Linked DNA regions of Alligator mississippiensis. The protein of the gene in region 2 interacts with the protein of the main gene of each other region in a biochemical or structural test. Links are inferred from orthologs where the notes say so. Each region holds a gene or a part of one and is shown on either strand. Other genes may lie near its edges. The genes, in order: potassium voltage-gated channel subfamily A member 5, SNTA1, GUCY1A2 and WWTR1.

Evidence for each region.
Region 1: the proteins of SNTA1 (region 2) and potassium voltage-gated channel subfamily A member 5 interact in a test that uses a peptide from one of them, tested with the Homo sapiens proteins (2 studies listed by BioGRID and IntAct). The link is inferred for Alligator mississippiensis from reciprocal best matches to the Homo sapiens genes SNTA1 and KCNA5.
Region 3: the proteins of SNTA1 (region 2) and GUCY1A2 interact in a test that uses a peptide from one of them, tested with the Homo sapiens proteins (3 studies listed by BioGRID and IntAct, with this or other methods). The link is inferred for Alligator mississippiensis from reciprocal best matches to the Homo sapiens genes SNTA1 and GUCY1A2.
Region 4: the proteins of SNTA1 (region 2) and WWTR1 interact in a test that uses a peptide from one of them, tested with the Homo sapiens proteins (2 studies listed by IntAct, with this or other methods). The link is inferred for Alligator mississippiensis from reciprocal best matches to the Homo sapiens genes SNTA1 and WWTR1.

The regions. Positions count from the first base shown.
Region 1 is NC_081827.1:141,490,566-141,498,477, forward strand, and holds potassium voltage-gated channel subfamily A member 5, read right to left. Parts: upstream 3,022-7,912; 5' UTR 2,920-3,021; coding exon 1,141-2,919; 3' UTR 416-1,140; downstream 1-415. UniProt on the Homo sapiens protein: Voltage-gated potassium channel that mediates transmembrane potassium transport in excitable membranes. Forms tetrameric potassium-selective channels through which potassium ions pass in accordance with their electrochemical gradient.
Region 2 is NC_081832.1:27,973,445-27,980,886, reverse strand, and holds the start of SNTA1 (alpha-1-syntrophin), read right to left. Parts: upstream 3,006-7,442; 5' UTR 2,905-3,005; coding exon 2,640-2,904; intron 1-2,639. UniProt on the Homo sapiens protein: Adapter protein that binds to and probably organizes the subcellular localization of a variety of membrane proteins. May link various receptors to the actin cytoskeleton and the extracellular matrix via the dystrophin glycoprotein complex.
Region 3 is NC_081824.1:437,938,498-437,945,398, forward strand, and holds the start of GUCY1A2 (guanylate cyclase soluble subunit alpha-2), read left to right. Parts: upstream 1-3,888; 5' UTR 3,889-4,001; coding exon 4,002-4,220; intron 4,221-6,901. UniProt on the Homo sapiens protein: Has guanylyl cyclase on binding to the beta-1 subunit. Isoform 2 acts as a negative regulator of guanylyl cyclase activity as it forms non-functional heterodimers with the beta subunits.
Region 4 is NC_081830.1:61,395,952-61,403,255, forward strand, and holds the start of WWTR1 (WW domain-containing transcription regulator protein 1), read right to left. Parts: upstream 3,007-7,304; 5' UTR 2,554-3,006; coding exon 2,123-2,553; intron 1-2,122. UniProt on the Homo sapiens protein: Transcriptional coactivator which acts as a downstream regulatory target in the Hippo signaling pathway that plays a pivotal role in organ size control and tumor suppression by restricting proliferation and promoting apoptosis.

The DNA.
Region 1 (7,912 bases), on a different chromosome or scaffold from region 2:
TTCCTTCTCAGTCCAAGCTATAAGCCATGTGATGTCAGATTCTTTATGTGCCATCCATTTCCAAAATGTAATAATTAAAAACAGTGAACCGTCTACAAAAGCAGCACAGATCTGCAGTGTGACTGATACATGTGTTTAAAGGAATTTGGAGTGTAAATAAAATAAAAAACAAAAACAAAAAACTTTTGCAGATACTGCACCAGTAAGTAGCTTTCAAGTTATTACCACCCACCCCTTAATGTTTTTGATCTGTTGTGCACTTGGATCAAAAATAGTAACAGTAAACAAAATCCTATATTTAAAAAATCCTGCAAATGCACCAATGGTAGAAAACTACAAAAAAATAAATAAGCTGCATATTTTTTTCTGGGATAGAAAGCACAGGACTGAATTATTCAAAATTGTGAAACAGTGAGATTATTAATAAAAGCATTTATAAAGAAACATATCTATAATATTTAATAAATTAAGGCTCACAAGAAACTAACATCTTATCAACAGCAAAGTTTTCTGTTGTAGGGGTAAAAGCACCAAATTCACTTCACAAACTAGATAACCAGATCTGAACTGATCACAAGGAGAAATCTGATAGTGTATCATAGCTAACATTTCTAGTGCTTTAATGAAGTCATGTTTCACATGAAAAAATAATCTCCTTTCACCCATAAATACAGTTATACAGATACAAAATATATCAAGATAATTTCAGTTTGAAACTACAGTACCAAAAAGAAAAATCCATTCACCCTCCACACACAAGCACACCTTTCCAACCCTTTAATACTAAACTTTGAGCAAGTGAATTGGTTATGCGACCCATTTAAAGTCACTGTTTGCTAAAATAAGTGTCTACCAATTACATTTGCACTGTAATAATTTACCAGCTCCTGCATCATGGAGAGTAACTTATTCTTAGTCTATTTTAAAAATAGGTGACCCTTTGTGTCATGGAAAAAGAACATAAAAACATGTATTCTTGGAGGTCTGTTTAGACCAGTGGTCAATTATAAAATATAGTCAAACTTAATGTACTAAGCGGTACCAAAATTATAATTACAACACCAACAACAACAACATCATAAATGTTTCCAATACCAGCAAACCCTGCTGTCTCTCTGAACCCCGACTCAGTGCCTTTTCTCACAGGTCTGTTTCCCTACTGGTGTCCAGGCAGAGCGCATACAACGATTTTCTGAGATCTACGTTGCTCTTAGCTTTGATATTGGCTTTCTCCAAGGAGCCGGTGCCATTGTTGATCCCTTCACAGTTTTCCAAGTGCACAACAGATTTGCTCAGAGAGTCTTTACTGCTGGATCTTTTCAGCTCCCCCTCGGCCGAGCTACCCTGGGCACCGCTGGCCTCGTCTTTGAGGATGCTCTGTTCTTCTTGGTCAGTCTCCCGGTGGTAGAAGTAGTTGAAGTTGGACACGATGACGGGCACAGGCAGGGCTATGGTCAGCACGCCAGCGATGGCGCACAAGGAGCCCACAATCTTGCCCCCGACGGTGACGGGCCTCATGTCCCCATAGCCCACTGTGGTCATGGTCACCACTGCCCACCAAAACGCATCGGGGATGCTGGAGAAGTGGGAGTCGGGGTCATCGGCCTCAGCAAAGTACACGGCGCTGGAGAAGAGGATGACTCCGATGAAGAGGAAGAAGATGAGGAGCCCCAGCTCCCTCATGCTGGCTTTCAGCGTCTGCCCCAGAATCTGCAGCCCCTTGGAGTGCCGGGAGAGCTTGAAGATCCGGAAGACCCGGACCAGGCGGATGACACGGAGGATGGCCAGCGACATGGCTTGCTGCTGGCCCCCGTTGCTGGTGGCAGGAGTCCCGGGCTGTGGCTGCTCTTGGGCCAGCTCGGTGCCCAGAGTGATGAAGTAGGGGATAATGGCCACGATGTCGATGATGTTCATGATGTTCCTGGAGAACTCGGGCTTGCTGGGGCAGGCGAAGAAGCGCACCAGCAGCTCGAAGGTGAACCAGATCACGCATGTTGTCTCGACGATGAAGAAGGGGTCTGAGAGGCCGCTGGGGGGCTGTGCGGCAGGCGCGGGCTCGCGGCCCGGGGTACCGTTGGTGGCCGGGGGCAGGGGCACCTGCAGCTCCCGCTCGTCACGGAACTCCGGCAGGGTTTCCAGGCAGAAGGTGATGATGGAGATGAGGATGACCAGCACGGAGACAATGGCGATGCCCCGCGCCGAGCTGGAGCTCTCGGGGTACTCAAAGATGAGCCAGACCTGGCGCTGGAACTCGTTGCGGGGCAGGGGCTTCTCCTCCTCCTGGATGAAGCCCTCGTCCTCGCGGAAGCGCTCCATGGCCTCCTGGCCCAGCTGGTAGAAGCGGATCTCGTCGGCGAAGACGTCGATGGAGACATTGACGGGCCGGCGCAGCTTGCCGCCCGACTGGTAGAAGTAGAGGATGCCGTCGAAGCTGGGCCGGTTGCGGTCGAAGAAGTACTCGTTGCGCAGCGGGTCGAAGTACCGCATGCGCTTGGCCGGGTCGCCCAGCAGCGTGTCCGGGAACTGGCTCAGGGTGCCCAGCTGCGTCTCGAAGCGCAGCCCCGAGATGTTGATCAGCACCCGCTGCTGCAAGCCGGCCCCGCCGCCGCCGCCGCCCTCCTCCTCCTCCTCCTCCGCCGCCGCCGCTGCCATGGCCATGCCCAGCCGGTGCCCGCCTTCCTCCATGGCCCGCGGAGCGGACGCCCGGAGCACGCTGCCGCTGCCGCTGCGGCTGCGGGCGGCGGGCGGCGGCGGCGGCGGAGGCTTGGCGCTGCCCTCGCTCAGGCTGAGGCGCGCCGGGGCGGCGGGGCTGGGGCCGTGCAGCAGCAGCAGCTCGCCCCGCCGCCCCGCGCGGCCCGCCGCATCCTCGCCGATGGCCGTGGCGCCGCCGTTCTCCAGGCTCACCAGCGCCAGGTCCATGGGCGGCCGCGGGAGGCGGGCGCGGGCATGCTGCGGCCGCCCGGCCCCGGGCTGCCCTGCCCGGCCGGCCCCTAGCGCCCGCCCGCCCGCGCGAGCCGAGCAGCCCGCGGCGTCAAGCCCCCCGCTGTGACGTCACAGAGGATCCCGGCTCCCCCGCGCCGCCAGCCCGCAGCCTCCGCGCCGGTTACCAGGCGACCGCATCCTCCCGCCCGGCGAGCACCGCACTGCCCCGCCCCGCCCCCCGCGGCATGGCAGTGTGCGCCCCGGCGGCGCTCTCCGCCGGCACCGCTCCCTCCCGCGCACGGGCAGCGGGCATCACTCCGAGGCGGGCGTCCCCTTCCAGCCCAGCCCGGCCTCTGGGAGAGTCTCCTTCCCCTCCCTCACACCTGGGGGAAACCCCTGCGGCTGCCTTGGGGCAGGGCTGCGGCGCGATGGGGAAAGAAAGAGGGAGACTGACAGTTGCTGACAGTCCTCCTGTCTCGTCCATTTCCCCTCCTTGGGAGGTACAAGAGCAAGTGAAGTTATATAATTAAGACTGTCGTGCTGTGGTGCAGGCAGAGCCTTCTCTGTCTCTGTCTCTCAGACACACACACACACACTTGCTCTGGCTCTCACATACATGCTCTGGCGCGCACACACACTCTGGCTCACACACACTCATTCTGGCTCACACACACTCTCTGGCACACGCACACATGCATGCACACACACACACACACCCCCTGGTGCTGGCTCTCACACACACACACACCCACGCACGCCCACACAGCCAGCCAGAACAGGCTGAAACAAAGGATTACACAGCCTGCCCCCATTCATGGATTATTTGTTAAAGGGATTTTATGCAGGGAATGCTGCGCGCCGTCTTTCCTGCTATAAAACCGCACTTACAAATAATGAAAATAATAATCAGGGAAAGGAATAGCGCACCCAAGGGACCCTGGTGGGGCTTTGCCGGGGGAGGAGGGGTTGCCCACTTGGAGCGCGCTGGAGACAAAGAAAAAGCTGTTTTAGAGCTAGGTTGCGATTAGTCTCCAAAAAAAGGTGGTAGCTGGTGTTTGTTACAGAGTCACACAAAACAGAAAACCAAATGCTTCCATTAGGATACATCTATATGTCGCCATTCAACTTACTGGAGCGGTAATTCATGTTTTGTATGCCTGCACGTTCTTAATGTATGTCAGTACTTTATAAAATACCAATGGATGTATATTTATGAGAGGAAGTGAACTGAGTCTGCTCTCCATTGTCTCTTCATTTACAGTGTAAGGAGGGCAACCCATGCTGTGGTATTTGTTTGCAATCTTCAGTTTTGCACAGCAGCTACACAGGAATGCGATAAACATGCAAGAAAAATATAATCCACATTACACAAAATGCATATTCTATCCATAGCAAAATATTCTTGTGGATTTCTGGGTTTTTAAAATAGAGTAAAATATTTCAGCAGTGCAAAACTTCCCTACCCCCGCTTTCTCTAGGATTCATCATGACAGCAACACTCATATTGAATCCCTTTGGTAAACTATTTTATGGCCATAGGAATATATCAAGCTTCACAGGAAATATTTCAACTTAATGTAAAAAATATTAGCTTCATGCACAAAATGTGCCCCAAGATATTAAAGATTTCTATAATAGGAAAAACATATTTATAATACATGGTTGTTAGTACTGATTATTTTCCACTGACAGGTCATATTCTGTCAATTGCCTCCTACGACTAAACACAGTCTCAGGGACATGTAAGATAATGCAGCTGTAACACAGGACCCAGCTGTGCAAATCTGAATAACTTTACTTCCACGAGTAATCTCATTGACTTCAGTACAACTATGCACTCAGATAAGCCAAAGTATGTGTGTGTTTGCAAGACTGTTTTTAACATCGATATTTTTCAGGTAATATATCAACCTTGCAAATGTAGTATTATTTCCCAGGATGGCATTTACGCTTTAGCTGTCCATGAGATAGAGCTGTAAAACTAGTGGAATAGCACTTCAATCCGCAAGAATGGTACCATCTGCCCTCCAAAGGATTTAAAATACAGTTCAGAGCCACACATCACGACTTGTTAGCACAGAGGTAGCCCTAAAGGGTGATATGAGGCAAATAGTTTCACTCTAGAAGAGAAGTCTGGTATCCAACCATCACTACCTACAATTTCCACACCCACTTCAGAATCTTTCCCCTTCACAAAGTCACACATACATATCCACAAATACTTGTAAGCCATGCTTGCATTCATCCACTGTGACCTCCAACCTCATGGCGCACACATAATATAGCCTGCATATACCACCTACCCACCCACGTATACACAAGCAAGCTCACTCATTCATGAACATATGCAAGCCCATAATACTTCTGGAAATGCATGAACCCATAAACCTCTCTGTGCAAATGCAATGCATATACCCCATCTACTGCCACAATTTCCCCTCCCCTTTCCCCCAGTACTCATCACTATGGTATGGGGTATGCCTTCATAGGAACACATATTCAATGTTTTTGGGTATTCATATTTATGCGCCAACCTGCCACAAAACTTCCACCCTTTTAAACATGTACTGCATACCCACACTTATCCACAAAACCACTGAAACAACCATCTACTTATGTTCCACCCCAGAGGCACTCCCCGCACACAATTCCCTTCTCCCCTAAACACATATGGGCTTAACTGTACTCAGCTTTCCCTGAACACAGCCTATCGGTATGCTTTTATGTGGGGGAAAGCATGGAATCAATGAACCACATGTATATGTTGGCAGTAAGTGTTTTATCCCAAGGAGTGTCATATGCACTATCAAGTGAAAAAGAGTATTTTTCAGGAGTCCCTTGTTGAAATGCTGGCACCATATCACTACATTTGTTCCATTAGCTTCTTTCCCATGCCATTCTCTTTATCCAGTGCCATCTGCCTGGGCTTTCAGTAAGTATCAACATGCTTCAATAAAGCATTCAGCTCCATTGCCAGTCCTTGCTGCATTGAGAAATTTGAGAGGATGCTGGAAGAGATGTTCCCTGCCTCCAATCAGCCCCCTGCTCACATACATGGTCATTACCCTCACCAAAGATGTGCACTGCCCCCACCCTAGGTTCTTAGGATGATGAGACTTCAGGGGAAATAATGGTATTCTACTCAAGCACCCCACAGAGTAGCTAGATGTTTCAGCTAAAATAGTTAACAGCTATTACCTACATTGCCATGTACATCTTCAGGGGGTCTCAGAGTCCAAACTCTTACTGAAATGAACAAGAGTTGTTATTCTCTCCCTCCCTATAACTTCATCTGCTTGCAGACTCAGGAAGACACACCTCCTGCATATTAGTACACACCTAGTAAGGCCCAAAACTGTATCCCTAATGAAATCTTATAGAATGCTGAGACAGAGAGTATCACAGAAAGATGGGTCAATCCTATTCCTGATAGGGCCCAGAATGGGAGAGTAGAAATAATGTAGGAAGCAGAAATCTCACTGTCCTGTTCCCATGTGCCACTGCCCCGCCCAAAACAAACAAACCCCAAAACAAAAGATGCGGGAGGGGCTGGACCCAGTGATCTGTAAGGTCCCTTCCAGCCCCTCACAACTGTGAAACTATGAACTATGAAAACAAAAAACCAACTCCCACTACTACCCAAACCCACAAAGTTTTCCAAACAGTCCTTGTAGCAGTCAGGCTTCCAGCTGTGCACGTCTGCAGAGGTGGCCCTGTACAACTCCTGTGCCTGTCTCACAGCAGTAGCAGGTGGGATAGCTGGTGTCTGTCTGACTTGTCCTCTCTGATGAGCAGGGTGGATGGTAATTGGGATTTCTTTGATTCTTAGGCAGGCATGTCCACTTTGGCTACTGCTCATTATTCTAGCAAGGGGTTAAGTAAAGGGGCAGTGTGGGGAAGTACAGTATCTTCTCCTCTGCTAATAGGGAAACCCCTATTCTTCTTGGCATCAGACTACAACATTCCCCTTCGTCTTCCCCTCCCCTCCCACCCCAACATCCCCAGCCCTCTGGTTTGTGAGGTGAGGGCTCTCTTGGCAGGAGAATCTTAAATGTAGACAGCAGGAGGAGACAGCACCTGATCTGAGGACTTCCCAGGCCTCAGGCCTTTCCTACCAATGCCTCTGATTTTCCCCATGGTCATTGGCGACGCGTAGGGGGTGCACATGGCTGCATGTGCACCCCCTGAGATTGGCAGTGAACCCCATGCGAAAAGTGCTGCCGATGCTCATCCCGCCCCCTTCCCCCCCCCCACTTGCCAACAGCACCGCCAGTGGCGTCTGCTGGCAGTCCCTGATCGCTGCTGGCCGCCGCTGATGCTGCCAGTAGCATCCGCGGGTGGTCACTGATGACCTGTAGGTACTCACCACACCAGCCCCGCCGCCAACACCGCCGCAGCTGCCTGCGGGAGCTCCCTGCTGCCATGCCCTTGCTGCCAACACCGCCGCTGCCACCTGTGGGAGCTCATTGTGTCCCTGTAGCGTCCAGGGGCACACGTCGTTCATGCCTGTGGTGATAGTGCCTGACAACCAGAGGGCTCTCCACTAGCCATTCTCCATCTCCTCTAAATAGTGCTAGGTTAAGGTGAGAGCCCACAAAGCCCCAACTCCAAGGGCACCTGCAGATGAGCATGCACATGTGGTTTGTAGCACCTCAAAGCTGTCTGAGGCATTGCAAACAGCACGTGGCACACATGTAATCATTTGCTATGCTGCTAATTTGCAGCACAGTGCCAAAATTTGATACCTGGAGACCCCGGTGTCAAAAAAATTGCTGCAAAGAAGTGGCACGGTGCATGCTTTAAGAGCATGTGCCAGCAGACACAGAGGATGGGTCCTCCAGGGAGATGCTCTGGCTGCTGCTCCCCTCCTTTAGTTGTCCCCTGGTGCCTCCAGCACACCAGGAGCTGGAAGGAGCTCCCAAAGTGGAGCATTTTGCCCTGCACCATACCCCCACAGGCAGGGGTGTCCACAGTGGCAAAAAGAAGTGGT
Region 2 (7,442 bases):
ATGTCTCCATTCTTTGCCACTAGAATTTGGGCCAGCTGCTAGCTTTCTGTGCTTTATTCAGCTTGTGCAAATGTCCTGTCCTCTTCCCCACTCCTTGCCAGCCACAGTTCTTGGGAGACTGACCAAGTTTGTGGGTTGAGAACACCAAGGGCAGAAAGAAACTTAATTCACTTTATACACCCAAATGGCTGTTTTCCAGCTGTGCAACTGCCATTTGTGCCACTTACAAATTGTGAAGTTAGTCCACATGCACTGTGCAACCATCCATAAAGTTACTAAACACGTGTGGCAGGCTGCACTCTGGCTGGGTAGATATGCAGCTCCATACACACGTACTCTGCACAAGCCAAGTCATGGAATTCTTTCCACCTGCTACTCCACAAATAGCAGGTTATTAGATGCCAGAAAAGGAGGAGGGGGGCTCTCTCATGCTTTACATCCCATACCTGGGTAGCTAACACACTTACCCAGGAAGCAAAAAATCTAGTATATAGATCATGTTCCACCTCTTCAACTTCCCAAAAGCACAATGTTCTAATCACCAGGCCATATGTTATGCATTTATTTTATGGTCTGGCCCTCTGCAAGGGAGCAGATCCTATATTCTAATCTGGGCCCTTTCTCCCAGTGCACCAGAAATACCTGTTTATCCATTGAATATTAAACACAAAGTACAGCAACTCAGGTTCAGAAGAACGGCTGAATAATGCCTCACCTATACCCAGCGCGCCATCCTGGAAGTCAGAAAGATCCAGGTTTATAAGCCATCTTGCATGGGAGGAATGGGGGTCCATAACGTAAATCTCCTGTTTCTGATGGCTTTGACACTAAAACATGGGAAGGGGGCCCTCCTTTTTGCCAGACTGAAATTTTGGAACATATATACCTTCACATTAAACATGCTCAGTAGTCACGTGGATGCACATTCATGCTATATAGAGACAGGATTGCAAACTGTGTCAACGCTAAACTCTCAATTAGAAGGGTGGAAAATTGGCACTTGGGCACACAAAGTAAAATACGATTCTGCCCCAAATCTTCATAGTTTGGAGGGACTCTATTTCACTCTTGCATTTGGCTCATAATAAAAATATGAAAAACACTGGGTGTAAGTTTAAAGGAAGGACCTAGCTTTTAAAGGGGCATGGCAATAGATTAGCTTTCCTAAAATCACTTCCTTTCATCTTCTGTGAATGTACTCAACTTCCTGGAGAGGTACATTACCTCCATCTTTGATTCTAAAGGTCAAAGCTGCACTTTTTCCAGGTTGCTTGAGAAACTTTAACAGATAAAATAAATAAATGCGTCCTGCCGCTTCAAGAAAATTATACCTTCAAAACCTGGTTTATTTTGTGTTAACACTGTCTATTACTCAGAGCTCCTTCAACACACTGTGCCAACTTCTCCATTGTGTCTTAGTGCAGCAAACTTGTACAAATGAGGTCTTTCAAGTCGTGCTGATGGGGTTGACAGAGGTGCCTTTACAATTCAGTCCCCCTAGAAGGTTAAATCTGACAAGTGGTGTGGACTGCGGATTTTTCATCGTCACTTCTGATATGGGCAAGGTGTTATGGAGCAAGATCTGTTGCCTGGTGCTGGCTAATATGAAGGGATGCTAATAGGCTGCAAAAAGGTAGAACAGCCTTTTGGTTCAGTTACAAAGGGGAGGACAAATAACACCTTAACACTTCTGCAAAACACAGCTGAATTCCAAATTCAAAGGCACAGAATGGGAGAGAAACAGAGGGGGAGGAGGGACCTGCTACATGTGATATGTATCACGCAATTGACCGTGAATTGTGCAACAAATGTAGATGGGCCACATGTCCACAGTAATTATCACACTGAAGGACTCCCCTGCTTTAAAAAGACCCAATGAGCTACAAAATTAGTGCCTGAAGATGTGTCCTACTCTAATTGAAACAGTAGCAGAGCCCTGGGAGAAAAGCAATTCTCAGCTCTGCTTGCCCCAGGTATGGGGCATAACTGTGGTTTCCACAGGGGGCTGGGGGCCCAGACTATGTCTAAGGGGTCTGTGAAAGATGACTATGATCAGTCAAAAGTATGTGACCACCCACATTCACAGGTCAGAGGTGCCTGCACCGCCTTTCAACATTTTTAGGGGTCTGCAAATATAACGGTTGAAACCCGTTGTCCCTGGCATCTATTTTTAAACTTTTTTTGCCTGATATTTCTGAGCAGCAGCCAACCGGCTCAGCTGGGTTCTACCTCCAGCCTCAGAAGAGGCTGCATCAGGCAAGCCAAGAAGTCGGGTCGGAGCAGCCTGGGGATCTCCCAGACAGAAGCATCCTCCCGCAGTGATTTGCTCTTCCCACCCCCGACAAGAAGCGTCCAAGTTTTTGAAATAAAGACTGGTAACCGCCCCCCGCTGAACTCTGCGGGCAGCTGCCCCGCCTCGAGGGACCGGCGGAGCGAGCCCGAGCAGACGCGTGTCCCAGGCAGGCGGAGAGCGCCGCAAGGAGCTGCGTGTGGCAGCAGCGCGTTGGGGCCGCGGGCCAGGCCCGCGGCGGCGCCGGCACAGCAGCTCCGCGGGCCCCGCGCCCGGCACGCTCCCAGCACCCGCCGCAAAGTTTGGCCCCAAAGTTGCTCGGCGCCCCTGGGCCGCCCCGCGCCCGCACCTTTGATGCTGATGCCGAGCCCGCCCACGTCCTGCTTGACGATCCGCACCGTGCGCTTGATGTTGGCCAGCGCGTCGGGCACTGCGGCGCCGGACTCCGCGCTGTCCTGCGGCGCCGGGGCCGGAGGCTCCTCGGCGGCCGCGCCCTTGGCGGGGCTCACGCTCAGGAAGTCTTCGGCTAGAGTCACCAGCACCCGCAGCCACTGCTCGGCCGGGACGCGCAGCTCCAGCAGCCCGCTTTTGGGCGCCCGCCTGCCCGCCGCCATCTTCAGCGCATTCCGGGACCGGCTGCTGCGCCGCCTCCCGCCCGCCCGGGTCGGCAGCGACTGGGCCCCGGGCACCGCGGCGCCGCCTGAGGCCTCCCCGCCCAGGGTGCCGCCCCCCAGCCGGCCCGGGCGCCGCGAGCGGCCGCAGCACTTGAGCCCCGCCCCACCTCGCCCGAGCGCGGCCGCCGGGGCCCCGCGGGCAGCGGCCTCAGCCGGCGCCGCGGCCGCTCCTGAGCCAGGGCAAGAGGCCCCGCGGACTCATCCTGCTTCCCCGGCCGCCCTGGCACGGCTACGTGCGCGAGCTGAGACAGCGGTTCCCAGAGGCTGTGGCAGGACGCCAGCACCAAGTGTGTGTCAGCGGGGTCCGGCCGGAGGAGCCGTCACCCAGTCCCGGCGGCTCCGATATTTGGCCGCCGCTTTCCCGCCACCAAACGGCCACGCTCCGTGGCGCAGGATCGGGTTCTGGCAGAGCTGGCCCTACACAGCAGGTTCACGCTGCACCAGCCCCACACACCTCGGCAGGGTCCAGGGAGCGGATATGTGCCACCCATTTTACTCCATAAAAATGTGTACCCCCAGTATCAAAACTATGGGAAACATTAACTTAGGAGAATAAAGAGGGGAAAGACACCTGATCTCTCCTGGTGTACATTTAGTTAAACAGACAACAGGTTAGCAGAGAGCAGAAGGTGATGCTTAGAGCAGGGTGCTGGATAACCAGGCTTCTGAGTTCTGCTACTCGTGTAGTCTGACCTGCCTCAAGTCCCCTCTCCCTCTAAAATGAGGATGAGCATCCCTCAGACTTGCCCACCCCTGTGGAGTGTTAGGGTTAATTCATTCATGCCTCTACAATGCTTTGATCCTTGCATGGGGCTTTGGTCTGGCTGGTTCCCTGTACCTGTCCTCAGAATCTTGTGCTATGGGCCTTGGGGCATGAGGAGAGCCAGATGTAGGAAGCAGCTGGTCACAAAGCTCTTTCCCTGTAAACTTTATCCAGCTCTTTGGATGCAAATTATTCTTGGCTCTACAGGAGACATAACAGCACCTTGAACACACACAGCATCAAGAATATTAGCAGACTCCTAGAGCTGCCATATAGGTGATCCACTTAACTGGGAAGTGAAGCAGGATGTGATTGTATCTGTCCTTTGTGTCTTCGATATCATCTTGCAAGAGCTTGAGAAATCTCTGGACAAAATACCCACAAAAACTTCATAAATCCAGTGATAATTTAAATCAATCATCTTTGCGAAGGGTTCAATGAAAATGTACAGGATTCTGAAGAAACTAAACCAATGGTTCCAAGTACCCATCCCAAAGGGTGGCTTGGCTAGCCAGAGCACTCCTTATCAAATGTTGTCAGCATACATGAATCTGCTGTCTTATCTAGCTCTACAAGTTGGTTCAATGAAAAATATTACCTCAAAAATCTTCCTTTTATCCTTAACAAACAGGATCCACTCATCTCAGTGAACAACAAAACCAATATATTTAAGATTAACAGCATCTGTGTCTCTGGGTAAAACAGAAGGTAATTTGGTTCTTTTTCTATTTTTACAGATATCTAGCCATGTGGAGTCATGGCTCAGGAGTAAAGGATTACTAAAATCATTGGCAATCCCTTGATTCAAGGATGGTCTCTACCATGGTTCACTGATGGGTCTTGAGATGATTTAAGAGTCCAATTCTTGAGCAACAGATCCATCCGCAGGAGTTGTAGGTCTTTCTGCAGGGGAGAGTGGGCTGCAGGCAAGGATTCCTCTCCTTTTCCTTCCTCTACTCTGTCTTCTCTGCTTCGAGGGCAAGATGCTTTACTTCAAAATGGGTTGAGGTTGTGGTGCCGTTGGGGTCAGTTGGCAGCCAGCACCTCCCAGCTCTTGATGTTGCCATCTGTTTCTTGAAGTATGCCTTGAGTGTGTCCTTGTAGCATTCCCTTTGGCCACTGTAGGATCTCAGGCCATTGCTAAGTTGGAAATAGAGCACTTGTTTTGGGAGTCGAGAGTCAGGCATCCGCACACTATGTCTGGTCCAGTGAAGTTGATGCTTGAGGAACACTGACTCAATGCTGGTACCATTCGCTTCAGCAAGGATGCTGGCATTAGTGTGGTAATCCTCCCGTTTGATGTGGAGGATTTTCTGGAGGTATTGCTGATGATACCTCTATAGGCTCTTGAGATGATCATAGATCACCCACATTTCACATCTGCAGAGGAAGGTGAGGATCATGGCTGCATTGTGGACCTAGATCTTGGTGTCTTTCCAGAGATCTTGATGAATAAAGACACACCAAAGCAATTTCCCAAAGAAGGCACTTGTGCATCAGATCCTGTGCTGGAACTCTTCATTAATGTTCACTCCTTGAAAAAGGTGGCTGCCAAGGTAGGGGAAATGCTTGACTACCTCCAGGGTCTTTCCCTCAATTGTAATTTGGGGAAGGGGGTTGTCTTCATGGCCTGGTTGATAAAGCACTTTAGTCTTCTCAATGTTGAGAGGCCCACAGTTTAGTAGGCTTCTTTAAAAAGATCCAGCATGGTGTGGATGTTTTCCTCAGTGTGTGCAAGTGTGGTGTAGTCATCTGCATATTGAAGGTCAAGGATGGTTGTTTTGAATACTTTGATCATTGAGAGAAAAAAAAACAGATTGAAGATCCCTCAATGCATTTGGTATTCTGTGTCAATTTTGGAAGGAACATGGTTCTTAACGAGAACTAGGGCTACTGTCAAAAAATGGAGAACAGAGTTGGGGTGATGATGCATGATTGTGTGACAGGCTGACTGCTTTTGCCCAGCAAACCAGGCTTGGAGAAGGACACTTCAGATTGGTGGAACATTTCCACCAATCAGGTAACAGCTGGGAGGGGCATGCCCCACCCCTGCTCAGAAGCGGGGGGCAAGGAGCCCCTGGACATGATTGAAGACTGCGCTTTGCAGGTCCAGCGGACTTCGGGGCAGGGCCTCCAATGTAAATAAAAGCCCAGTGTGACTCCGTCATCAGGACTCCGCCTGAGTCTCAATGGTGCCTGAATCAGCGCACGGTGCTCAGGCTCTGGGAGGCACTCGAGGCAAATCCGGCAAACAGCTGGGCACCCCGGCCTCCTCAGCCAACTCTCCACGCATCAACCTGCGCACTATGTGGGGCCCGAGCAGCCTCGAGCTGCTCCCAGGGCCAGCTCTCTGCATGCTCGAGGCTGCTCGGGCCCCACATGGTGCATAGGTCGGTGCGTGGAGACTCGGCCTTGGGAGCAGCTCGAGGCTGCTTAAGTTAGCCCTGGGTCTAGGCCTGATAACCGGAGCCCCTCAGTGTGGTTCAGCATTAAACTAAAAGAGCCCCAGTGCCCAGACCAGGGCCTGGAAAGGGGAAAGACCCCTGGCATGAGGCCAGGAACTGAAGCCAGTGAGGGCTCGGCTTCCATAGAAGTTCCCTGGGTGCCGGGCACAGGGCCCAGAGGAAAGGGACCCCAACTCAAGGCTGACAGCTCCAGGAGGCCTGAGACGGTGCAGGGACCTAAAGATCAACAGCCCCCAGTGGAAGGACCATGAGTTACTGGAACATTAGAGTGAAGATCTCTGTTCCCCATTATGCAGACATCAGAGTAGATAATTATAACCATCCTTTGCACCCTTAAAATCAATGAACCTGTACACCAGTAACGTGAAAGATACAGTCTCTGGGCCAGGGCTGGTCTGTGGAACTTTATTATTGGGCTTTCTGGGCACCTGGAGGGGATGGGAGTTCTAGCGCAGGGTCCCACCACTGATTTGAGCGTATGGAGGCCTGTCAGGACATGTGTTGGCAGCAGAGGGGTGAGCAATGAGTGTATTAAACCATGAGGCACAGAAACCCACAATGGTTAATGCCATGGCCACTCACCCCACCACCAGAGGTGGGTCTGAATCTGGCCAGGGGGGAGAGAGGACCAAAGGGAGTTTGGTGCCCTCGCTATAAATTATGTGACAGAACATAAGATGCTTTTAAAATGCACAAACAGAAGCTTACAACATTCTGGTATTCCCAGTTATGTTTTGTTTACAGAGAAAAATGTGCATGGAAAGCTTATTCCTGATATCCCTATATCAAGAAAACAACCTTGCGTAGTGCTGCTGGTACAGCACGGTTACTGTGCACACCAGGCTGCATTCCAGTGACAGATTTTCAAAGACAGGAGCCAATGGCAGGATCAGGGCTTTCTTCTGCTACTGTTTTTCTCTGGGGCGGATATTTTCAAAGCCTGCTTGCAACATCCTCAGAGACTGGATGGAACTGCTTTGGAGATGGATAAAACAAAGGTAATTTTTTTCTCCTAGGCCATTGCAGAGATTTACACTTCAGTTGATTGGCTTGAGATGGGTTCTCAAATATGGAATATATTTTGTTTCCTGGGATGGATTTGCTTGAGATAGTTGAGTGACAGCAATCAGAAATTGAAAGTACCTATTTGTTCATTTATGGTATTCCCTTTCCATGCAGGATTACCAAGAATACCATATTTCAGACCCTTTTTATCTTGTACTTTGTGCAATTGCAGATGCCTCCAAGGA
Region 3 (6,901 bases), on a different chromosome or scaffold from region 2:
TTTTGAAGGCAACAATTAAAGAACATTTTCCAAATATTTGTAAAATTGCCTGTAGCATACATGTGAATTGCATTATGTTGTTCTGACAATGTAAAGTTCTTGCTGGCATTCTTTTTTTCCAGCAAGAACTACACATAGGTAGTAAACAGCTACATAGTGGGTGCACCTCCATGTGTGCTTTATTGCGGAGTTGACTAATTAGCTCCACAGTAAGGCATCACAGTCTACGTGTGCATTGGTATTAAAGTGCAGTAAACTCATTAAATCTACTGTAGGATAATACTGTTGAGGGCAGTACTATGTTATGGCAGAGAAATAAAGGGTGCTGAAACACAGATGTAGCTGGTGACTGGACAAGTGCCAGACTCCTCCCTACCCCCCAGCCACATGACTCTGCAGGTTTTGCACCCTCATGCCCCAGCCAGCCGCTCTGGTGCCGCCACCCAGAGCCCGGGGCTGATCCCCCCAAGCCTGCTGCCAGCCCAGGCCAGCTCTGCCCCAGCTCAGAGTGCTGTTGTCCCAGGCAAATGTGTAGATGCCCGTGAGCAGTTCACTCTGGCTCATAGTGCTCTGGAATTTATCATGTTTCATTAATTGCATGTGTAGATGCACCCAGTTCGTCAGTAATGTGGAAACCCCAACACATTCCAATAAGACTTTTATAGCAGATCAGCTTATATTCTCTATGTACTGTAGTTATTGCTTGCATGTTGTATCATTGTCAAGAAAATCATTCAACTCGCAGATGTAGCTTGTCCCTGTAAACTTATAGCTGGGTCAACTTAAGTCAGATGAATGTAATTGAGTAACCTCACCTAACAGGCTCCAGAACTCAAGGAAGTCCTAGTCTTTCTAGTATTTTTGTTTTCCTCATATAAAACCACCTTTTGGTGATGATTGGTACTTTTCCAGAAGGTCCCTCTGTTTTGTTCAGTTTATTAATTTTTAGCCATTGTGAACATCAAATAGAATTTATCATGCCCTAGACAGACCACTGATATGTGTCCTACTGGAACAAACAGGTATTGGGCCTACTAACATGCATTCAATCTTTGTTCTTTGCAAAACTAACAGGTGATGTTGCAACACCAATTTTTGGCTAGCAGTTAGGTTTTCTCAGTGTGCTGTATCAGCTGGAACAATAGCAGCCTTGAGGTCCTAATTGCATTTTTTTATACTGAATGAACTTCAGTTGGCACATTATCTAAACAGTCAAGGAAACCATGTTTTACATTTTTTGTAAATGAATGATTTCTGTGCATGAGTAAATCCAGTTATAGTTGTAGTGACCTCAAGGACTGGAGTTTAAAATGAAAGATTTCCTTTTCCATTTTAATTGAACTCAATGTCATATAAAAATGTTACAAGGCCATGGATTTTTTTTTTAATATAGCAAGGAGTTTGCAAGGATCCAGAGAAAGTTTGATAATATTTGTTAGAAAATGGTAGTTTAGACTTTATTGTACGAAGAAAAAGAAATAGCCATTGAAAATTGTTGAAAGGATTGTGTGTTCTCTTACCATTTGGTTTAAAAGTGAGTTTCCAATGCTGAAAAAAAAAAATGTAAATACTCTGACCAGCAAGACACTTACTTTAAGTCCTACAAACAAACTGTGTGTATGATATGGAAACAAATGACTTGTATATACTATTTTCTTATTCAGCAATAATGGCTTTATAATCCACAAATAAGTTTCCACTACAGAGCTGAATCTTGTAGTCCTTATTCAGTCGTAATTCCCACTGAAGTCCATGTGAAGTCAGTGGGAGTGTGCTACACTAAGACTGCAGAATAAAAAAGAAAATGGAAAGCTGCAAGGCAAACCTTAGGAAGCAATCACAAAAAGAGCCCTCTGAACACAGCATGTTCCCACCTTTGATTTACTTCTTAAACACAGAATATACTGTTCATCCCTCTCAGAAGTGCTTGTTCAGGAGACCCAGCAATATTGGATCCTGTGATTGAAAGTTGTCAGGATTTTGGAAGATTTTATAATTGAGTGCTGTTGACATTGGTATAAGTGACTTAGTCCATTTTTTATCAGGGTAAAAGAAAGAACATCTATCCTTCCTCTAATTTTTAGGATGCAGAGAAATAGCTTTTGTGATTCAGTGAAGAAATTAACCTTACCATGTGCAGCAAGTGAAGGACATGGAGTCTCAGAGGAGCTACAGTGCTAAACTAAACTTTTCAGGCCTTTCTGTTCTAGATTAGCTGAAGGAATAATGAAGACTGTGCAATGAAATTCTGTTTCTACCCTAAAAATCATGCTTCTTAAAACATGTCAGTGCAAGTGTTTTAGTTCTTCCTAGCTCTGGTGTATAAGCTTTGGTCAGAAAAGTCCAAAGAAGCACAAGAATTGAGGTGGCAGGGGATCAACTTCCTTGTTTTAATGGAGAAAAATATTTCATATACATTTTTATAGGTTTTTAAAATTAAACTTGTTAGGCCAGGGGCATCCAGGTGATGGAATTGAAAAGAATGAATGGAGTTGCTTTATTATCTCCCCTTTTTAGGGATTCTAATTAAAGGCAGGAATATTTATACCCCTTTTCCCATCCACCTTTTTCCCCCATGCAGACACCTGGACTCCCTGTGTTATAGTGTGTGGTGTATTCGATACGACACAAACATCCACTGAAGTAAAAAAAAAAAGAGTCTACATTTGTTTCCAATGGGTTTTGGATCAGGCTGCATTCAGAAGTTTAACATTTATTGGTAAGAAGAGGGTGTGAAACATATACCAAAACATCACTGCATAAGCATAAAAATCGAGACCTTAAACCCACCCTACCCTCAAAATTAGCCTAAGAAGACCCAATCTGTCTTGTTGATAGCACAAAGTAATAACATTCACATCACGTTTGCTTGGGGCCTTTCTGCCTGGATAGACTACAAGCAATTGTTAAGCAGTTCATGGCAAAAATGTCTACTTTTTAAAAGCAAATGCGTGGCTTGAAGTGTTGAGGGGGTGGGGGGGATGAAGATTTAGGTGGCTTATCTTTCATTGTCTTCAAAAATGTCATCCTTCCTCAAAGCTCTGGTTAGCTTGCTTTCTTTGTCTTTTGTTGTTGTTGTTCTTTTGTAATAAGCTGTATTTGAACAGTGATGCGTGGCCTGCATTTTATCCTTGCTGTTTCTTTCTTGGATGCAGTACGCAGTCATAAAAAAGCAGGACTTGAGTGAAACCCTGAACTGAGACGTTGCCATCAAATATGACACGATCACAGCTTTTTTTGTGTGTTTATGAAGATCTCCCTTTCTCGGCTTTGGGAGTGAGCATCCAAAAAAGGGTGCAGGGGCAGTTGCTGCCAAACTCCTCTTGATTGTGGAGCGTGGAGCTTACAGGAGTTCATTTTGGTGAGAAACTCTTTACACAGGGCAGGATCTTCTAGGTGTCCATGTGGAAGACCTGTTCTGTGGATGGGGCATGTTTCATCTGCGAGAAAGTGACCTGGATGCCTTTCTGTTGTTAAGCTCTACAGGGAGAGCAGTAGCAGACACAACCTGCAGCCCTGCTACTCAGCTGCTGCTGCTGCGGCTGTGTAGACTTGTTGAGCTGGGTGTAGCAGGCATGGAGCTGTCCAGCACTGTTTCAGACAAGAAAATAAAATAAAGCCAAGCGTTTCTATTACAGGCAAAAGTAGAAACTGGCCTAGTTGGGGCCTGGGGAGGGGGAGGTCTTAATCAGCCCAACTGGAGGGAAGGAGGCGGGGTGGGGGTGCATTGGAGCAGGTGCCCGCAGCCTTTCTCCTGTGCCAAGGGGCGCGGGGCGGCGCGGGGCAGGCGCGGGTGCGGGGCGGGGGGAGCGGCACGTGATGCGGGGGGGGGGGCGGAGCGGGGAGGAGGCGGCGGCGGCAGAGCCGCGCAGGGGCGCCGGCATCTGCTTTAAAGCCTCCCGGGCAGCGGGCGCCGCGCAGGGCCATGAGCCGCTGCAGCGGCAGCAGGAGCAGGAGCAGCGCCCCGGGCCCGCGCGTGTGAGCCCGGCCGGCCGGCCGCGATGTCCCGCCGCAAGATCTCGTCCGAGTCGTTCAGCTCGCTGGGCTCGGACGGGCTGGAGACGAGCCCGGAGGACGAGGGCGAGTGCCCGCTGGCCCGCCTGTGCTGGAACGGCAGCCGCAGCCCGCCCGCGCCGCCCGCCGCCCGCCGCGCCCCGCGCCGCCGCCGCCTCAACCTCGACTCGCTGGGCGAGAGCATCAGCCGGCTCACGGCGCCCGCGGTGAGTGCCCGCCCGGCCCCAACTCCGCCCGGGACAAGCGCATCTCCGCCGCGCCGCCCTCCCTCTCCTGCCGCTTGGCCTTATCTTGCATTTCCCGTCTTAATTTGAAGCCGCTTCAACTAGGAGCAACCAAGTGCTGAGACCCCCGCCTGAGGGTGGGGGGGGGGGGGATAAAAATAGGAGCCCCTGCTGCCGCCTCCTCATTCCTCCTCTGCCCGCGGTGGCACGGGCTGGAGCGAGGCTCCTTCGGTCTCTGTGAGAAGCGCTTGAATGGACGCGTCTGGCCCTGAGCCTTCCTGAATTGCTGGGCACCCATTCCCAAATCCGTGCAAAAAAGGGCTCCTATGGGGCTTTTAAAGGATAGTTTGTTTTTTTTATTTAAAAAAAAAAGAGTAATAATTATAAAGCAGGTGGTGCTTAACTAGTGAATATGATTTTTTTAAATAAAACATTTATATATCCCCCTACATTTTTATTGTGTCTGCCTGACACTCCCATCTTTCCTCAAAGAGGAGACGTGAACTACTTTTCCCTGTCAGATTCCCCCCCCCCCCCCCCCCATTAGACACAGGGAAAAGTTGTTGAGTTTTCCCACTGTAAAATAGCCAGAGTTATAGGTCTGCACCTGTTCTACCACTCCGCTTGGAGATGTTAGTCCTTTAAAAATGCTCTTTGAAATCAACGGTGTATGAGTACTTGAGTCGGCATGTCGGATACTGAGGATTCGTGAATTGCTGAACAGTGTGTGTTACATACAACAATGTCCTTTTCAAAGACGGTGAAATTATTGCCCCAGGCAAGTCTGGATTAGGTTGTTTTGTGCACAGTAGAGGAATTATACTTACTTTACCACAAAACTGTTGAGCTCCCATAAATACATATATCATGATGAGAACATTTCACTGGGGTTCCAGTTGCAGATGAATGTGTTTTTGGCTCTAAGAGGCAGAGATTGTTTTGGCAGGTGAAGGTATTGATTTTGAGTTGCAACAGGTAGCATGTTAATATGTAACCTGGTTTGTATCTGCTGAATGATAAGGCAGTCACTACGCCTTTCTATATCCTATTATTCACCTTTGAATTAAACAAACATATCTGGTTAATCTCCAGTCCATGTGCAATCAAGGCATTGGTGTGCGAAGCATTTAACATGCTCTTTGTTCAGGATGACTTGGACTAAGTAGACAGCGGTAAACCAGTTGTTTTTAATAAGGAAAATGAATAATGCATCACAGCTGTATGATTTCACTAAGCAGTTTTCCCTCTCCAGGAGGAATGTGATTCTGCAATGCTGAATTTAATAGAAGACCTCTCAGGTGACCTGTCTTATATTATTATAAAATAAGTAAGTTATTTGATACCGTAGTAATACAGGTGCTATAATTAGAGCAATATATCCAATATAGTTAAACCATTCTGAAGTAGCTCAGTACAGTATTTTTAGATATTTAGCATTATTATTGTTGATAACCTCAGCATTTGTATTTTCACAGCTTTGACTGCTACCTTCTGTAGTGGGATGCTGTAAAAGGCAGCTTTAGAGGTTAATTTTAGTTAATCACTGCATCATTTGAAGACTAAACAAACAGAACCTAGAGGTAGAGAAACACTGCTGGATCATCTTATCCACCTTCCTGTCAGAGGCAGTTTTGGAGAGAGGTAGGTAGTTATGTTAGTCTGAAGTCAGGCAGAAGGCATAGTAGATTTACACCTCAGACTAACTAAATCATATAGTATAAGCTTTCACGGGCGCAAGATCATTTCATCACCCCTACTACCATCCCCAAGTTTAGTCATTCAAAAATGATTTGGGGAGTGTTGTCCAATCTGGCTTTTTGTTCCAAGCAACAGGGGTCCCACTGGTTTCCTTGGGAGAGAATTGCAATAATTCTTACTGTTTTGAAGTATTTTTCTTTTTTATATGCGTTGCCTAAAAGTCCCTATATTAATTGCATCTTGGCATTCTACCACTAGAGCTTGATTCTGATCTTACTCTGTTCTAAGTGAAGAAATGCAGCTGTAGGCATTAAATCACACTGGCACAAACCTGCTATGAGAGAGAGGAGAATGAGGCTTACTATCTAGTCTTGATATTGTATGAGTAGTAATTATTCCAAGTCATTATTTTGGTGCGTACTACTTATTGAAACTGTTCAGTGGTACTAACAAAACAGCTACAGTTGTGGGTAAGCACAGTAGAGTAGCCTTCTTGCAGACAGTCAAGTTATCATATCATATTTAATATGGCTTTTTTCTCACATCCACTAAAGTAAATCTGGAGTAATTACTTTGACTATAATAAAGTTATGTGGATATAAAATTAGTATAAGAGGAGGTTTGTGACCCTTATTTAATTTTGAAAGTCAAAGCCCAAGTAACACGCTCATAAAGACTGAGGAAGATGCTCCCAGAAGGAATGTAGCAGCAACACATGAACACGCAGTGTTAGATGCTTTCAGAGTTGAAAGATGCATTAGGGTTTTCAGGTTTATGTACAGCTGTAACCTTCTGCTCTGCACTTTTAATACAGAGATGGCTCAGTTTCATGTTCGGAGTAGTATCATTTTCCAGTTTTCATGGATGGAGAATAATAGTATTTGTGAGTAATACTGTTATGGCATGCAGAGGGCTCCCTGTTGTGATATTATTTCAATCTGGATGTAGCATTAGCTATAGAGAGT
Region 4 (7,304 bases), on a different chromosome or scaffold from region 2:
GGATGCTGTAAAAATTGGGTTGGATTGGGCCCTAACCTGGCCAGTCTGCCTTCGCAGAATGAGGTTTCACCCACATGGCTCCTAGCAGCTGGATAAGGACCCACATGCAGGATTGGGCCCATGGACCAGATCTGGCCTGCAGGCCACCGAAAGTTAAGTGTACCACCAATTTTAATATGGAAATAGTGTGTCTGGCATACCAAATGCTGGCAAAAACTGTTTTAATAGAAGAGCTTTTCAGTTCACAGATGGAAAGAAATGTACAGCGACTTGGCCTAACTGATATAGAGTATCTGACTTAAAACACAAGAGACTGAGGTGGTACTCCTAGCTCTGTGACTAGCCTACTGTGTGATGTTGGTTAAGTCACATCACCCTGCTGCCTCAGTTTCGCCATCTTTAAAATGGGGACAATCATGCTTGCTTACTTTGCAAGGCACTTTAAAAGCTACTGATAAAAAGTGTTCTATTAGGGCTTGGTATTATTATTTACAGAGGCTGCTTTGCTAAGCTGATAGAGTATTGGCCTAGGACTGAGTGGTGTTAAGGCATGGACAGATAAGCTTGCTGTAGCAAAGCAAGAAGGGGCAGGGATTTACCATGACAGCTGCTCTATGGGAACTGTCCATATGCATGCTCTTGCCCCATGGAAAATGAGAGAATATTCATTCAACTGCCCTGAATGAAAAGCGCTTCCACTGATGTCTAAGTTACCATGGCTTAGCTTTCATCTTTCACAGGTTAATGGCATACACATGGGTAGCTACTGTGGATCAACTAACATGTGGGTAAATTCCTAGTCCCTTTTACCTCACCAAAACGAGTCCATCTGCAAATACCCCTAGATTCTATTACCAGCTCGGTGGGTAACCTTGGGCAAGTCCCTTCAACTGTCTGTACCTTGCTTTTCTCATCTGTATTCTGGGAATAATGATGTATACAACCTTTATAAGTACTCTGAGGTCAAAAGATAAGAAGTGCTATAAAAGAGGGAGACGTATAATTACAACCTGTGAAGCCCTGGCAATGATACCAAAACCCATTAACTCTGAATGCCCTTTTTTGCTACTTTCCTTCTCAGTTATTTAACAGAAATGCTGACATTCATTATAAGGGAAACAATGGGAAAGGCAAACTTCACCTCTCCAACAACTACAGGTTTCCCTCCATTTATGCTACACGTGCATTCCCAGAGACCAGTGCATAAATCAAATTCGTATAAAGCATACCCACTTTACAATGTAACAAATAGCTCCTGGGCTGCTGCAACCAGAGCTGGGGTGAGTGTTGTACCCCATGTTGCCTGGGGCTCCACCTGTCCACACACACCCCAGTCCGTGCTGGTGTAGCCCTGAGAGCAGCCGACACCAGCTGCCTGCAACACAGCACTGTGCAGCCCAGGAGCTGGGGTTAGCCCAGGCGTGGGGGGGACAGGCAGAGGTACAGCCCAGTGGCTACAGGCAGCTGGAACCAGCTGCTCTAGGCAGGACTGGGGTGAGTGGGGCCATAGCCCTTTCCCCTCCCCCCATAGACTTACCTGCTTGGGGGGGGGTATCTATGCTGATCACATAAGAAGGAATTTACCCTGTATACAACAAATTATGGGTCTAAATATGTTCATCACATAAGAGCAAATTTGCATATAAAGAACCTGCATAAATCAAGAGAAACCTGTATTTGGTCTCTAGGAGTGCTTTGGGCCCATTTCACACCCTGCAACAAGGCATATGCTCACTGAGCCCCCAGGAGCAACAACAGGCATCCCTTCTAGTCCTGGTGAAGCTCTTTAGCAGTTTGTACTTAACCTCAGGTCACACCAATGACCCTGACAACAGAAAAACAGGGGTGGGGGTGCTCACGGGTCCCTCGATGATCTCAATGAATCCCACCTACCCCGATTTCTAGACGGGAGCTGCGGTCTGAGGCAGCCTGGCTGGAGGGCAGCGGTGCTAGCCCTGGCAGGGCAGGCTACCTGCTCTTCACGGCCAAGAGCGCTGGCTCACCAAGAAGCTCAACCCAAAGCCAGGGCCAGGTCACAGGCAGCCCCTCCCCTCGCCAGCCGGCTCCAGGGCCCCCCTCCAGCCACATGCAGCCACCCCACGGGGCCGGGCCAGGCACTCACTTGAGGAAGTAGCGCTGCCCGGTGTGCGTGAGCGCCATCTCCCAGCCGGGCGGCAGCGGCAGCTCGTCGGTCACGTCGTAGGAGCGCTGGCGGAGGTGCGCGTGCTGCTGCGCCGAGCCCGGGGCGGCGGCGGCGGCTGCGGCGGCGCCCAGCAGCGAGGCGGGCGAGGAGTGCGAGCGGACGTGCTGCGCCCCGGCGGCGGCGGCGGCGCCCAGGCGGGCCGGGTGGCTGCCCGAGTCGGTGCTGGACTGGCGGGAGTGCGAGCCCGAGTCGGGCTCCTTGAAGAAGGACTCGGGAAGGATCTTCTTCCGCCACGAGCTGGGCTTGGGGTTCAGCACCGAGTTGAAGAGCGCCTCGAGCTCCGTGTCCAGGTCCTGCGTGACGTGGATCACCTGCTGGCCAGGCGGCGGCGGCGCGCCCGCCCCGTTCATCTTCGGCCCCGACGGGCGCGGGCGGGTGGCGGCGGCGGCGGGGCCCGCCGGGACTCCCGCAACTTGCCCCGAAGCTCAGGCGGCGCGGGCCGGGGCGGCGGCTCGGCGCTCACGGCCGGGCCGGGGATCGAGCTGCGGCCGCGGCGGGGCCTGGCCAGCTCCGCTCGTCCCGGGGCTTCGCCTGTCCCGAGCCGGCAGCGGCGGGGCCGGGCCGCGGGACTGCGCTGCGCCGCGCTGCGCTCTCGGGTCGCCGCCGCCGCCGCCGGGACTGTCCCGCACAAAGTTTGCGGAAAACTCTGAGCCCCGCGGGGGCGGGCCGGGGCGGGCCGGGGCGCGGCGCCGCTGCATTATTCAGGAGCTGGTGCCCAGGGCCCGCCCCTGCCTGCCCCGAGCCCCGGCCTGTCCTGCCCGCTGGGAGCCGCCGGCGCCCCTGCGCCTCCCAGGCCCCGCCACCGCCGGGGCAGGGGCGCACGGGCCAGTGGCGGAACGAGCCCTTGGCCGGAGCCGAGCCCGAGCCCGAGCACCCCGCTGTGACCATATTTGGTAGCGAGAGGAGGAAGAGCCGTGCGCTTGCCGGGCTCTGGCAGCCCCGGCCCCAGGGGAGCGGGGCGGTGCATGCTTGTAACCGGAGCTCCAGGCTTGTCCTGGCCCCTTGCGACTGGCCCGGGAGCCGAAGGAGCAGGGGCGGCCGGGCACCGGCCTCCGCCGCAGCCTGAGCGGTGAAGGACGAGCCCTGTGGCAGGGCGGGCGGCGCCCTGGGCTCCGCTGTTACAAGTCGCTGCTGCAGCCCCTCGCCGGCACGGGCCGGGAGGCGGGGGCGGGCAGTGAGCGCAGGCTCTCTGCGCGCGGGAGAGCCCCGACCCCGGCGCTCAAGCCACGGTCAATCTGTGCAGCGGCTGTGCGGTCTCTGCGGCTCCGAGCCAGGGGAACTTGTTCTGCAGACTTCCCCTGTGCCGAAAGGTCATTCACATACACTTCCACTCCCATCGGGCATGGCAGAAGCTCCTTTTCCCGTGGAAGACTTTTGGGGTACTTGCAACACTTTTTTAATTGTCGCATCAAAGTTGTCAAAAAAGCCCCAAACTGGGCAAAATCTTTATGTAAAAAGGAAAGCACAGTTCACCTGTGACTTTGGATATTAGGTTTTCCATAGCAGGAGGATTATCCTGTTCTCTCTTCTGCTTTCAATCTGTACAGGTGTAGACATAACCATTTTTTCTGTATCATTCATTACCCAGGCACACCACTCTCATGCTTGTGATGGATTTTGTTACACATTTCCACCAGCCTGTTCAGCTTTCCTTCGAGTCCCAGCGGTTTTCAGGCTCTGCTGAATGCAGAATACCTTTCCCTCATTCATCAGAATCTGTGCTAGCTCTCATTAAACAAGCTATTTTCCTGAATATGCCATGCATATTCCACTTGCCTTTATATGTACGTTGGGCTGCTATGCACTACCTTTGGCTGCTTCAACTTAGATCTCTTCTTACTAGCCTTTGTGCAAGTCCCATTCAACCCTGCCCCTGAACTAGTTTTACGTATAACAATAGTAAAGCAAGTCTTCAGATTAGCAATCCAAACACTTTTATTTCAAATAGCATCTTTGGACACAGATCCCTGGAGATAGGCATCACTTTACCTTGTGTAGGCCAACTCCCCCATTCTGTGCTTCAACAGTTTCCTTTCTTACATTTCCTGCTTGTATTTCCACTAGCTTGGCATATTTTATATCCCTTGTATTCCTCCATGCTACAGTTGTTAGATTTTTAACCCGGAAACTCAGTACTCCTAAAAGAGTTTTTTTATGCTTCCGTTCATTGGGAATTTTCCTCCCCATCTCTTCCACTGCTTCCTTACTGGGTGACTTTTATTTTCACTAGCTCAGACAGCTGTGCTAGTTGTAGCATATGTTCCAAAGTTATTCAAGACAGCCAGCATGTTTTTTTTTCCTGAAATATCCTTGCTTAAGAATTTCAAGTAATAGAAGATTTTTTATATGCATTTCTTTATTCATCTTGATGATGCTGTGTTCACACAGGTTCATTACGTTCTCTTCTCAGTGCAAGCACACCTGTTCACAAGCTGCATTCTTCTTTAGACTAAATGCCAGTAAGGCCAGACTCTGATATTGACTTCCCCATGGCATAACATCTTGTTTCACTTAGATCTGTAGACCATTTGCAGAACAAGATGCCACTGCACAAGTGAGTATAATCAGAATTTATGCTACAATTTGTAAACAATATCATAAGTACTTCTTCCTTGTTTAGAATTATCACTGAATAATCATGTCTTGTAGTTCCATTCTGTGATTTATAGCAGCTTCAGTCACTGATCCAAATAATTTAGAAGTTTACATTGAATTAAGGTCCGTAGCATCTTCCCCCCCCCATTTTACAGAGAAGTAATCTGAAGCACAGAAACAGGCTCTTAGAGGAGCTAATTCAGTGCCCACTGAAGTCAATAGAAGGTAATTGACTAAAGTGAGCTGAGCACTGGATTTAGCAATTTAGAAGCAGAGTAATGAATAGGAGCCAGGATGCTTTTCATTCTTATCTCTGTGTTCTAAACTACAAGAACATAAATCCTCTTGCACTGCATGTCAGTGAGTTTTCTGAAGATTACTTCAGCACTAAGAAAATACCATTATTTTCTATAATATTCTGCAGTATGAACAGATGTTAATGGTGCAGTAACTAAATAGCTCACTCCTGTGAAGGATCTGCATAACAACGCTTAAGTATAGTCATTGCAGGTGGTCAAAAGAAACATCCAAATTCCAGTGAGTAATCCAGGTACTAGGGATACTTTCAAATGCAAGTTTGACACCCCTGCTTTACAGGAAAGTCATCCCAATTTTTTGCATGTGTTTTTTGACTAAGTCCACCAATACTTTATGGTTATGTTTCATGTAAATAAAAAGGATCTTTGTTGGAAAGCCTTCATAAGTGAAGATCCAAGTGTAATCTGTAGAAGAAAATGTTCAGGATTTCTTTGAAGGGCCTCTTGTATCCTGGGTAATTAAGTAACTGTTAAATTATGAACAAAGGGTCAAAGAAAACTTCATCCTCCTGTTTGCACTTATGCCATATCCATTAGTATGTGCTATATATTTAAGGGACCCACAACCTTAACTAGAAAATGTTTACCTGCTATCATGTCTGAGGGGGAGGGAGCCCTGTTTAAAGTCACTTCATTTCATTTTTAACTTGATTTAGGAAACGGATTCACGTAAATACAGGCATGTGGTTTTACATTTTAACAGGTCTTGTGTAGCCAGTCAAACCAAGGAAGCATTTTATATTGGTACTTGAGATAGTCCCTAATGATATGACACACTGATTAAAAGTGTTAAACTTGATTTGTTTTTCTAAAAAACTCACTTCCCAGTAAATATGTAGGCCAATGTCTTCGGCAGTGTTTGTAAAAACAAACTGGTTAAGGCTCAAGTTTGTTTCTATAGCTTTTAAGAGGTACATTATTAACCGATTAGAGTATTTCTCAGGTAATTAAAGACATTCAGCCTTTGGTTTGTTTCACAATACAAGGTGGGTCCCTTGTAGTCTGCTATTTCCCACCCTAACCTGCTTTACCAATCATGTAAAACAATCCCGGTTGTCTGTGTGGGGAAATTCACTCTCAATTATTCTGGAATAACTCCTTATATGGATTCTATTCCAAAATAAGTTATTTTTATATTCTAGGCTATATTTACTATACAGAGTCTTTGCAGTCTTTGGGTTCAAAGCTACCACATAAATTATCAAGTGGCTAGTGTTTCTTCCTAATGTGCTATTGAGTAAATCACACTTTAGTAAATTACGGGGGAAGGAAAGGGAGGATATCGCCCACTGTATAGCAGCTTTTCTCAACTTGTGGGTCACAAGAATATATGAAAGGGTTGCAAACAAACTTTAAAAATGTAGAACTCTGCCAGCCTGCAAGAGAAAAGCCATGGTTTCCTAAGTTTTTCTCCTTTAAAGAAGAATCCATTTTTAAAGTTTGTTTGCTACCCTTTCATATATTCTTACAACCCACTTTTGGGTCACAACCCATGGGTTGAGAAACACTGCTCTAGTGCTCCTACACTGGTGGGAGGTGTCACAACCCAAGGGTGTGATTTTGTGTGTGCGCACTTCGGCACTGCTAAATTATTTCCCACCGCTCGGAGCTTTCTTTGCAGGGTGCATTTCTTAGTTGCAAAGAGAAATGCACGGTGCAAAGGAGTTCCTGCCACCCGCATGCAAATTTGTGTCCCACTATTGGCCAGTTCTAAATTATTCCCACGTGGCGGCTAGTGATTGGCTTGCTAGCTGTATAAGAGGCTTGAGTGGTTTCCGCCCAAGTTGGAGAACTCCGCAAGGGAGGACTCCACAACCATCTGGAGGAGGAGAACTTCACATCTCGTGAAGATCTCCAAGCGCTGCGGAGCCTATTGGACCCAGCGTATACCTTGAGAAGGCTATAGGGGTCTGATCAATCTCTGGCCTCTCCCCGTCACCGAACGATCCCTCGACGAACCCCTTCCCTGCGCGCAAGTTCCACGGAGCCTAGAAAACTTCATGTGAGTGTATCCGGAGCTCTTTCTCCGAGTTGTTTTCTTCGGTTGACACGACGGGCTCGCGTGTTTAGAGCCTTCAACCGGATTGGGCTAGAGGTTCGCGTGGAAGGAACTCTTGTCCACTTCTCTTCTTTTCTGTCTGTAACTGCAACTCAAACAAGTTTTCCCCCCTGCACCGCGACCATCTTCG